Linked DNA regions of Callithrix jacchus. The protein of the gene in region 2 purifies or fractionates together with the protein of the main gene of each other region. This does not show direct contact. Links are inferred from orthologs where the notes say so. Each region holds a gene or a part of one and is shown on either strand. Other genes may lie near its edges. The genes, in order: STAT5A, ERBB4 and WWOX.

Region 1 (3,650 bases), on a different chromosome or scaffold from region 2:
GGCCATGAGAAGAGGGCTGGCAACCCTGTGGGATGGGTGAGCAGGTGACAGGCAGGACTCCTCTCCAGCTGCCCCAGCACCCCATGTGCCCCCAGAAGGGACACTCAGAGTCAGGAGGCTGTCAAGTAGGGCCCAGAGGTGCCTCCTGAGGCATACATTCATCTTGGCGCCCCTGGCTGTTAGGAACCCTGACTTGCCCTTGATGCAGCGTCTGAGCCCAGGAGGGTCTCGCTCCAGAACAAGCGTGTGGGCTCCTCTGGGCCTCCTGTTGGATGCTGGGAGGTGACGGTCATGGTGCCCTGTCCCCTCCTCTAGCTCAGTTTGCCACGCTGGGCCAGCTGAGCCCCCAGGAGCGTCTGAGCCGGGAGACAGCGCTCCAGCAGAAGCAGGTGTCCCTGGAGGCCTGGCTGCAGCGCGAGGCACAGACGCTACAGCAGTACCGCCTGGTGAGTGGGGTCCTGGGCCTCTCCTGGGCATGGGTGCCACAAAGCCAGTCTCTGGGGACCCGAGGGAGGGCTGGGACCGGGATGAGAGCAGAACCTGGGAGGGCAGGAGGCCTTTTTACCTGGGGCCATGTGAGGCAAAGCAGCTTGGGGAGAGAGAAGGGGCTGGGCCCTGCCCTGCCATTTCCCAGCAAGGCCCCGTGGGGTTCTCTGGGAGCCCAGAAGGGGCTGTTCTCCTCCCTCCCTCAGGAGCTGGCCGAGAAGCACCAGAAGACCCTGCAGCTGCTGCGGAAGCAACAGACCATCATCCTGGATGACGAGCTGATCCAGTGGAAGCGGCGGCAGCAGCTGGCCGGGAACGGCGGGCCCCCCGAGGGCAGCCTGGACATGCTACAGTCCTGGTAACAGTGTGGGGTGGCCAGCGGGCAGGGCAGGAGGGGCTGCAGGGACCCCGACTGCTTCTGCCTCCTGCGCTGGCTCCTGCAGCAGGCCCCCTCCGTCCTGGGACAGCTCTTGTTTCTGTAGGGGCCTGGGTCCTGATTCAGACTTTGGTCCGCCATCCTGTGCCACCTTCCCCAGGAAGGGGACTGCTGTCCTGGGGGTAGGACAGGGCTCGGGTGTGCAGAGTGGCGTTCAGGCTGGTTGGGCCTAGTCAGGGTCCCCTCCTGTGAAAGTCTCTAATTCTTTGAGGCAGGGAGCTCTGCTCTTGCTGTGGGTGGGAAGTGTGGGGAAAGCACAGAGCCTTCCTGGGGGAGACGTTCCTGTGGGAGGAGGAGCCGTGTCTTGGGGCTGGGCTGTGGCCTGGACTCTGTGCAGAGAAGCCACTGTCCTCCTATTGGCCCTGGGGCTCCGTGCAGGTGTGAGAAGTTGGCCGAGATCATCTGGCAGAACCGGCAGCAGATCCGCAGGGCTGAGCACCTCTGCCAGCAGCTGCCCATCCCCGGCCCAGTGGAGGAGATGCTGGCCGAGGTCAACGCCACCATCACGGACATCATCTCAGCCCTGGTGACCAGGTGACGGCTGCCTGTTGGCCATGCCCAGGGGCTTGGGGCAGCTCCCATGGGGTGGGCGTGTGGGGGGCCGCAGGTGCTTTCCAGACCAGCAGCTTCACCTTCATCCTTGTCTCTCTTTGCCTCTCATCCCTCCCCACTCCGTCTCCAGTTACTGTGGCTGCTGGGCACCGCCCTTGCCCAGTTTCTCTTGTAGACACTGCAAGGGATGCCCTTGGGTGGCATCCCATGCCGGCTGCTGTGTTCATCTCACTCCCCCTCTCCGGCCTCTTCCTGGACTCTCATGGCTTCCTTGGGAACAGACCCTGTGCTGTGCTCTTCCTCACCTGCTGAGCCCCTCAGGAGGCAGCCCCACTCCCACCACAGAGGGACCGAGACCCCTTTCCCCTGAGCCAGCCCCTCATCGTGCATCCGTCCCTGTGTCCCCTGCAGCACATTCATCATTGAGAAGCAGCCCCCTCAGGTCCTGAAGACCCAGACCAAGTTTGCAGCCACCGTGCGCCTGCTGGTGGGCGGGAAGCTGAACGTGCACATGAACCCCCCGCAGGTGAAGGCGACCATCATCAGTGAGCAGCAGGCCAAGTCTCTGCTCAAGAACGAGAACACCCGCAAGTAATTGTGCCTCTCCCCGCCCCTGCCCAGGCTCATGTGTAGGGAACGCGCACCTCCTCTCTCTGTCCTCGCATCCAGACATGTCTTGTTTCCTAGTTCACCATGTCACCCAGGCTGGTCTTGAACTCCTGGACTCATGGAGTCTGCCCACCTTAGCCTCCCAAAGTACTGAGATGACAGGCGTGATTCACCACGCCTAGCTCTTTACCCTGGGGATGGTGTGGCTGCCGGAGAGGTGAGGCTCATTGCCCAGCATTGTGAAGGACTATCACACCACCTTCTCCTGAAAGTGTATCGCTTTGCACCATTGTAAATTCAAACGATCATGTCAAACCATCATTAAGCCTAGGATAGATGGACACTGCCCTTCCTGCCTGTGTCTGGCACATAGTAGGTCAACAAGTATGGTGCTAGGCTAGATGTGGTAGCTCAGGCCTGTAATCCTAGCACATTGGGTGGCCAAGGCGGGAAGATCACTTCAGCCCAGAAGTTTGAGTTGGACAACATAGGGAGACGCTCATCTCTACAAAAACATTTAAAATTAATTGGATGTGGTGGTGCAAGTCTCTGCAGTACCAGCTACTCAGGAGGCAGAGGTGGTAGGATGGCTTAAGCCTAGGAGTTTGAGATGACAGTGAGGTATGATTCCACCATGGCACTCTAGCCTGGGCAACAGAATGAGAACCTGTCTCCAAGAAGATCACACAAAATACGGCATTACTGCCGTGTTTAGAACCTGTGCTATGCACTGAGGATGCAACTGTGACCCCAACAGAACTGGGCTGTCTCCTTGCCCAGCCCCTAGACCAGCAGAGCAGGCAGAGACTGTAGCCATGCAACAGGGAACAGAGGCTGTGTTCCGAGGATCGTGGTGAAGGGCTAATGAAATGACAGTATTAGGCCCCCAGTGGAATTGGAGGTAGGGAGGGAAGTCAGAGAGAGGGAGGACTTTCAGGCAGAGCCCATGTGCCTTGTCCTGAGGAAAGAGGGCAGAGAAGTCGTGTGTGCAGAGAATGGGGAGGCAGTGTCCAGTGTCAGGACAGGCCACCCACAATGTATGCAGTGGGTGAGTGAATGAGTGAGTGAGTGATGTGGAAGACATGGCCCCATCCCTTGTCATCCAATTAAAAATGTTTACTGAGGCCGGGTGCAGTGGCTCACACCTATAATTCTAGCACTTTGGGAGGTGGAGGCGGGCGGATCACTTGAGGCCAGGAGTTCGAGACCAGCCTGGCCAACATGGCAAAACCCGTCTCTACTAAAAATACAAAACTTAGCAGGGCATGGTGACACACACCTATAGCTCTAGCTACTTGAATCTGTAGTTCCAACTACTCTGAGGCAAGAAAATCACTTGAACCCAGAAGACAGAGGTGGCAGTGAGCCGAGATTGTGCCTCTGCACTCCAGCCTGAGCAACAGAGCAAGACTCTGTTTAAAAAAAAAAAAAAAATGTTTACTGAGTGCCTACCATGTGATTGGGGTGAAGATGAAGAAGAATGAACTTCTCACTGCCTTTGAGCTTGCATTGCAGCGCTTTAAAAGATCAGGCAGGGCTGCCAGGTGCGGTGGCTTGTGCCTGCAGT
Region 2 (3,650 bases):
TGCTTGGTTTGGCATTTCCACAGTCTTTATCTTAGCTCTTTTTTTAAAAAAACGTACTTAAATTAGTTAATTTGCTGGTTGCTTCCATATTGCTTGATTCAAAATCCAAAACGGAGTTCAGAAAAAGAACAAATAAAATTACAGCTTAAGTGCAAACTACGTTTCTGAGTATTTGCCAGGTAGACATACCCAGTCCAGTGTGTTTCTTCCAGTTCAATAGATTCCCTCATTGGACCACCCCTGAAAATATCAGTAGTTTTCTTGAACTACAGAAACTAAGAGAACTGTCTCTTAGTTTCCCTTTTATACTTCAGACAACCAACTGCTTATCAAATACTGTCATTTATGGAGAAAAAAAATGTTGAAAAATGTAAAGGATGAAGGTGAAGATAATTTGATAGCATGAAAAATGAAAGCTAAAATAAAAAAATATTAGCCTCCCTTTCTTATTTTAAAAATTGTGTACTTAAAATAGTGGCCATTTTACCATATTAAAATATTTCTTGCTTAAATTCTGTGAAGAAGCTTTGACATAAACATCTTTGCAATTAGAAATTAAAGCCAAAAATTGGGGAGCAACTATATAAAGGAATTGGTCAGAGCAAAACAAAGTGGAAAAAAAAAGCCTTCAAAACATAATTAATAGTTATATTTTTTATGACTATTTTTAAATTATAAGCTGGGTTGGCCATTCTTACTTGCTAGGACAGAAACTGTTGGAGAAAAAAATTGGTTTCTCAATCTCCGATATTATCATATGTTATAGAAAATGTTATTTTTTTGTTCTAATGAAAACTTTATTATAATTTCCAGGGATGCTCAGTATGTACACATCAGTTCCTGCAGATAGGAACAGATAACATAGGTGTTTCAACCATCTGCTTAAAAAAAAAAAAAAAGAAACAAGAAAAAAGAAGTGACAGCTAGTTTGATAGTAGGCGGTATTGCCTTATATTTTCTGGTCCTTCTCTAGCTGTTTCATTCTGACCAACCCATGCAGAGAAATGAAGAAACACTGTGGTTCCTCCTATCTTTCTCTTTCAGTCTTTCCCTCTAATGTTCAAGATAGATAAGCACATAACTATCATTGCATCTCTATATCTTCCACTGGGAAGTGTCAAAACTACTGGCCTTGGAGTAGAAGGAAGACCACCAGAGAAAGAGAGGGGGGTGGGGAAACTGGAGCTGTGTGTGTGTCTCCTCCTAAAAATAACAACTGAGCTTACACCACAGTATTCCGGTGTCTGTAAGGTGGAGGTGGCAGCACAGTGCCTGGCTTCAGGGAGAACTCAGAGAGGTATTCAGGATTCTCTGCCACAATAGGCCGGATCCGCCCATTCTGTTTATAAAAATATTTTGTGCTGTACTCCTGCAGGTAGTCTGGGTGCTGGAGGGTGCTCCGAGGTGGCAAGCTGTGGTTCCAGTAGTCAGGGTTGTCAAACGCTTTCTTGGCCTTCTCTGGCACTGACAGTACATTGTTCTTTAGGTACTCAGCTTTTCCCAAGGCATTGGCAAAGGTGTTGAGGTACAGCGGCTCATTCACATACTCATCCTCGGCCTTGGATGGACCATTGGATGCGTTGTGATATTCGGGATTATCCAATGCTTGAAGGTCTCCATTTTTTCTTCGAGAAACAAAAGGGTTCTCCTCCACTGGATTCAGGTATTCTAAAGGAATAAAAAAAAATCCGCTAACCTCAACTTTCTGGAAAATACTAATCAGACCAAAGTTATACATAATGATTAGCTTCTTTGTCTAGAACAACAACAACAAAAAAATACAGACTTGTTTTCAGGATTTCTCAAAACAATTATTTGTGGATTACTATTGCCATATGAAAAAAGTGGACCAAAAATGTTTATAACAAAACAAGAAGCCAATGAGACCAGAATCAGAATTTCTATCTCCAAAATTTTTCTTTCCTTCTAATTGCATCTGTTTCTTTTGCATATGGGGCCAGTTGTTTAAATGTTTTTGTTTTCTAAAATGTATTTATATTAGGAATAAGACTACTTCTTCAAATTAAATAACCTTTAAATATACAGACAACTTATTTCTATAAAGGATATTGAAAAACTAAAGAGTCTATAGCTTTTTTCCATGCCAAGATGAATAGATGGAGTGAAGAAATCATGTTTTTTAGTATCTAGTTTTGCTATGATTGTCTATACTGGTAACAAGGATTTGATTGGAGATGATCCTGAAAAACTTTTCACACATGGGAAAGAAAGCATCAAAGGAAAAAAAAAAAAAGAAGCAAACCTAACAGGTATCTAAAATGCCTCTAGTTGACTTGCTTGACATTACATGTACTTCTACTTAATAATAAAGTATAATTATATTTCCACTGAACAATCATAATCATAAAATAGCATACTATTAGCTTGAATCATATAAAACAGCGATTTTGTACACTGAAACCAGCCATTAGCACCTATTTTATATGGATCAATCTATAAATCCATCTAGTACAGGTATTGGTCTAAAAGGTGCAAATAATTATTGCCATTCTCCTGAAGTTTAATTTTACCTTTGTGTCTCTAATATAGACTGCAGGTAGACATACACACACATATATTGTAGGTCCTCTATTAGTCCTCTCTTACTATATATACAAAACACTGAGCTATTTCTATTTTGGATTTGAGGCATCAAGAGGGGACAATTGTTTGTTGAGAGGCCATTCTGAAACAAACTTTATCTCTTAGTCTTATCCCAACAAGCAGAGAGAAAAATCCTATTAGGCCAGGGTTATTTTTCTCCAAATATATGTATGCTGAATAGGTAAGCATTTAGCATCACTTATTAAATTTAAAGGGCAATAATGAATATCCCACTATCATACATAGGCCTTTAAAATATACTATCATTTCATCTTAGCAATTCTGTGAAAAAGAAAGTACAAGACTTATTTTTCCAGCTTTGTAGACAGAAAAATGAGATTAAATGATGTATGCAGGATACAATTAGTGTTGGGATAGAATTCAGGTCTTGTTACTCCTCTTGCATAATCTTCTTATTCTACCACACTGTTTTTTATTATTGCCCTTGCAGGCGTTGGGTGAACTTAATGCTTCGTAACAAGTTTTAATTTGACAAATGTATGAAAACACTTGTAAGGAATGCAGAATTTGATCTTTCTTACCAGATTCCTAAAACATCTTAATTGAAAGTATGGAAATGTCTATACTAAAATTCTGTACTCTCTGAGCACTAGGTTAGACTATAGCAACGTTTTATATAAATGGAGCTTAGTGTTCAGAGATAAAATCTGGGAATACTCTGTCTGGGAATACAGTGTGACTAGACAGACTGACTTGCTTTTCTCTTAGCCTTATATTACCTTTACACAGTGCAATCTACTTATATATTGTCCTGATGCAAACTTATATAACTGTCCAATAACTTTGCAGTTGAGGTGCAAATCTTCCCGAAAAGATTCTTCTTTGGGGGGAATCTGCCAAATCTTCACAAAACCTACATTTGTGTCATTACTGGGCTGCAATGAACATCCAAACTTTTCATCACATTTTTATATATATATAAAAGTTTTATATATGTAAAAGTTTTATCTAGACAGATGTATTTTAATAGGTTACTTACAATTAGGGTTCTCTAAATTTTACTTTAAAGGAGAGAACATAACCAT
Region 3 (3,650 bases), on a different chromosome or scaffold from region 2:
GGCTTTCTCATGTGCTTGCTGGAATGGGCTGGAAACCATGGTGTTCATGAGAACGGATATGCAGAGAAGAACCTCTGTATATCATCTTCCATTCTCAAACACAGAGATACTCTCTGCCCACTAAGTAGTTGGTAACTACAGGGGAGCTAAGCACTGAGGACTAACGTAACTCACTGTAAGTAATGACAAAACATCTTAAGGTGAAATTAAACAATAGCCAATTTTCTGGTTTCTTTCTTTCACAGAAAATATGATGCTGGCATGCTAATCGCGTGAGACGGCTTGGCCCACGGACAGCCACAAAGCACAAAAACAAAACACAAACTCAGAAGAGACAAGGATCGTGTTTTCCTGGCGTCTACGAGAAGCGCTTTATTTTTCCTCTAGATTTCTTTTTTAACAAAAACGGAAACATTTAAAAACACAGTACAAACTGCAGGTGATCATCTTCAAGCCTGTTCTTTTATTAAGCATAGGTTGGGAGGCACAGGCGGACGTTTAAGCAGAAAGCCAAGGCAAGACAACAGACTGACTGATGGAAGGAATCAATATTCCTTGCTCTCCAGAATATCCTGTGTGTTCTTGAGGACACACACCTCCCTGCCTGTCAAGGTATCTAAGGAATGCTTTGAAAAATTTATTTTCTATAGACTTTAAAGAATTTTTTTGTGTAGCACTGGCAAAGGAGTCTATGACACGTACTTTGCCCCCCAGGAGCTCTGCCACTCCATCTTGGTGTCACGGCCATCCTGCCCAGCTGGGGCAAGTTTCTGAGAGTTGTCTCCCCAGCAATTGCCAAGCTGGCTCAGTATGGCCAGGATGCAAGAAACAATTATCTGCTGGATCGATGCAGCAAGGAGCAGTAAACACTTGCTTTTTCTTCCCTAAGTAGGAGACAGCACGCCCCTGGCTGCAGTGGTGACCATGCTGGAAGCTGGGTGAGTCAAGGGGACCCCAGGATACTGTCTAATAGTAAGAAAGAGAAAATTGCTTGTGCTTCTCCAGGGAGATAAAGAACCAGAACCCACCCAGGTTACTTTCAAACAAGCAGGCCACCACCAGAACGCAAAGAAACCTATGCTGAGCCCCAGAAAAGCACCTTTACCCCTAAAATTCCCTGCTTCCCATTCGTACTTAACATTCTTCATGCGGTTGGGACTGCTCTGATTTCCTTTCCTCTTGCGGATCTCTGTTAGAGGGACACGGAAACCCCCTAAGGTTGGAAGGGGTCCAGCCTCGGCAGTTCCGTGGGCGCACACGCAGAGCGGGTCTGTGCGCCCATGGTCTCGGAGCTCCGCTTAGCCGGACTGGCTGCCAAGCCGTTCTTGGATCAGCCTCTCGCTGAGCGCCCACAGGGCCCGGGCCGTCTCTTCGCTCTGCGCTTCTGGCGAGGGCATGCAGCGGCAGCAGTTGTTGAAATACATGCCTCCCAGACCCTCCAGTTCTGGGGCGGCAGCACAATAGACGGTCGTGGCAGCTCCCTGTTGCTGGGAATCAAAGAAGAAAGACAAACATGTTTTAAGAAGAGGAGTCATGGGATGGCATCAGCAAATCTCCCCCACTTGGTGGTTTCAGCTGGATCTTGGCATAGCAAAGGCTACTGGGCTGAAAGCACATGACTGAAAAGTATACTGTGACTATCCTGGAAAAACGAGTTCATAAACTCCGCTTGTAAAGCTGGTGTGACTTTTGACACCTCGTATAGAACAGGCTTGGAAAATAAATACATGTCGTGGCAGGCGCCTCGTCTACACAGGAAGGAAAACGATATCCTTCTGATAGTGCAAGAGCACATTCATCCAACCCCTCGACGTCTCAATGTAGAATGTCACTTGATACCAACTTGTTTGTAGAACCTTCTGTCTGACAAACCAACCACTCTTAATTATGGCCCATCAGGTAGAAAACCCAAGTGGAGCTGGTGCCAGATCCTCCCTTTATGCTCTGCCCACAGTGCTGCTAGGGGAACGGTGGGCAAGGCTGTGTTAAAACATTTAATGCACACACCCACATACTCCCCAGCATACATGACTATCTAGCACATCTCTTAATTCATCCAGAACCTATGAAAACTACTTTTTCCTAAATGTTGTATTTGTCCCGGATCTCCAACGGGACCATGGCTAAGCGGTCCATTTCCTCCCCGCCCACTTCAAGATGTAAGTTGCAAAGAGTACAGTTGATCACTTTTGATTCACCTTTTGAGTAACAGTTGGGGCTAGGGCTAGGGATGTGTGCACTGATGGTGCATCATATCATCTGTACTGACAAAATACAGTCAGGGATGCTGTAAAGAGGGCAAGAAATCACTTTGCTTTGCAAGCCATAATTAAAAATAATAGGCTGCTGTTCAGAGGGAGACATGGTCGGCACGTCTCTAATTTAAAACCAATACAGTTTATCTGGCATCTTATGATTATTTATGTGTTTCACAGCCCTAGCTGCATCCACTAATTTTCAGCTCATAGGGAGCAGGGTTGCAAAAGAGGACCAGACAAGATGATAACGGAAGGTAAGGCAGCCCCCACCAGGAAGACGGTAAGGAACTTTGATTGCGGGGGAAACGGCTTTCCGACCTCACCCGAAGTTTATCACTTTTTTTTTTTTTAACCTCTGCAGGGTTTTAACTCTGAGCATGCAGGGTGCTTAGGGGAGGACTTTCCCTCACATGGTTTGGTTTGCCATCACTATGCTTGTATTCTAGGGAGCCAGGGCCATTCTGAGAACCAGGGGCCCGTGGAAGGTGTTAACGACCTGAAGAAGGTGGATAAGGCAGACGTGGGTTTGCTGTTGCTTGCTTTTGGTTTCTTCAGTGTCAGGGTCTGTAGTTAATCTATGTTGGTCTGAAAATGGAATGGTCAAATGCAGTCAAGTGACATGACTCTGGCAGGGGTGTGGACAGTGCATGAGACGAGCACTTGGATTTCGAAAATAAGTGGCTGCTTGGTGATATCAGGGAAGTCCCAGTAACTAACTGATATGTCTTGAACTGACTTAAACAGTAACTGGTTACCGCCCCAGTCTCCTACCGTAACCACGCCCACTCCAAATAGCCAGATATTATCCTAGATTCAGCTAGTTCTTTTCCATTGATTTCTGTGGGTCAAGTCTAATGGAACAGAGTTCGTGTCATCCAACTTTCCTTTCACTGAATTATGATTCCTCATAACCCTCGGCTTAGCAGCTGGCACATGTATCTAAACAACTTCAAGAGGCCCATCTGACTCTTCTGCATCCCATGTGGGGAAAAGGGAAGCAGGCGTGCCTCTAAAGACAAACTGGAGAATGGAGATGCTCATCCAGCTAATTCAAGCCAAATATCACCTGAACTGAGCTAAGAATTCAGACCGAGATAGTGCTTTGCATGAACATCCAGCTCTCTGTCACAGATTTCCATTTTATGCTGCCAAAACCACCAGAGTGGCCCAGTGCCCGCGTGGTGAGAGAATCCAGCCCACTAATTTCAGTCCAGCAACCCCCCACGCCCACGCCGCAATGACTATACTATTCAGTATTGAAACGTCATGACACAGTGGCCTTTCAGTGTTCTGGTAATCCTAACACCAAAGGAGTCCACTAGGGAAAGCACAAAGCAGAATTCTTCCTAAACTGAAAGAGTATTTTGCCATTATAACCTTCCGAAATGATGC

The links.
Region 1: the proteins of ERBB4 (region 2) and STAT5A purify together in Homo sapiens (affinity purification with western blotting; 3 studies listed by BioGRID, with this or other methods). This does not show direct contact. The link is inferred for Callithrix jacchus from reciprocal best matches to the Homo sapiens genes ERBB4 and STAT5A.
Region 3: the proteins of ERBB4 (region 2) and WWOX purify together in Homo sapiens (affinity purification with western blotting; 4 studies listed by BioGRID). This does not show direct contact. The link is inferred for Callithrix jacchus from reciprocal best matches to the Homo sapiens genes ERBB4 and WWOX.

The regions. Positions count from the first base shown.
Region 1 is NC_133506.1:121,727,462-121,731,111, forward strand, and holds part of STAT5A (signal transducer and activator of transcription 5A), read left to right. Parts: intron 1-315; coding exon 316-446; intron 447-692; coding exon 693-844; intron 845-1,300; coding exon 1,301-1,456; intron 1,457-1,885; coding exon 1,886-2,065; intron 2,066-3,650. UniProt on the Homo sapiens protein: Carries out a dual function: signal transduction and activation of transcription. Mediates cellular responses to the cytokine KITLG/SCF and other growth factors. Mediates cellular responses to ERBB4.
Region 2 is NC_133507.1:133,033,691-133,037,340, forward strand, and holds part of ERBB4 (receptor tyrosine-protein kinase erbB-4), read right to left. Parts: intron 1,669-3,650; coding exon 1,223-1,668; 3' UTR 1-1,222. UniProt on the Homo sapiens protein: Tyrosine-protein kinase that plays an essential role as cell surface receptor for neuregulins and EGF family members and regulates development of the heart, the central nervous system and the mammary gland, gene transcription, cell proliferation, differentiation, migration and apoptosis.
Region 3 is NC_133521.1:36,741,417-36,745,066, reverse strand, and holds the end of WWOX (WW domain-containing oxidoreductase), read right to left. Parts: exon of another isoform or gene 1,488-3,650; coding exon 1,299-1,487; 3' UTR 342-1,298; downstream 1-341. UniProt on the Homo sapiens protein: Putative oxidoreductase. Acts as a tumor suppressor and plays a role in apoptosis. Required for normal bone development. May function synergistically with p53/TP53 to control genotoxic stress-induced cell death.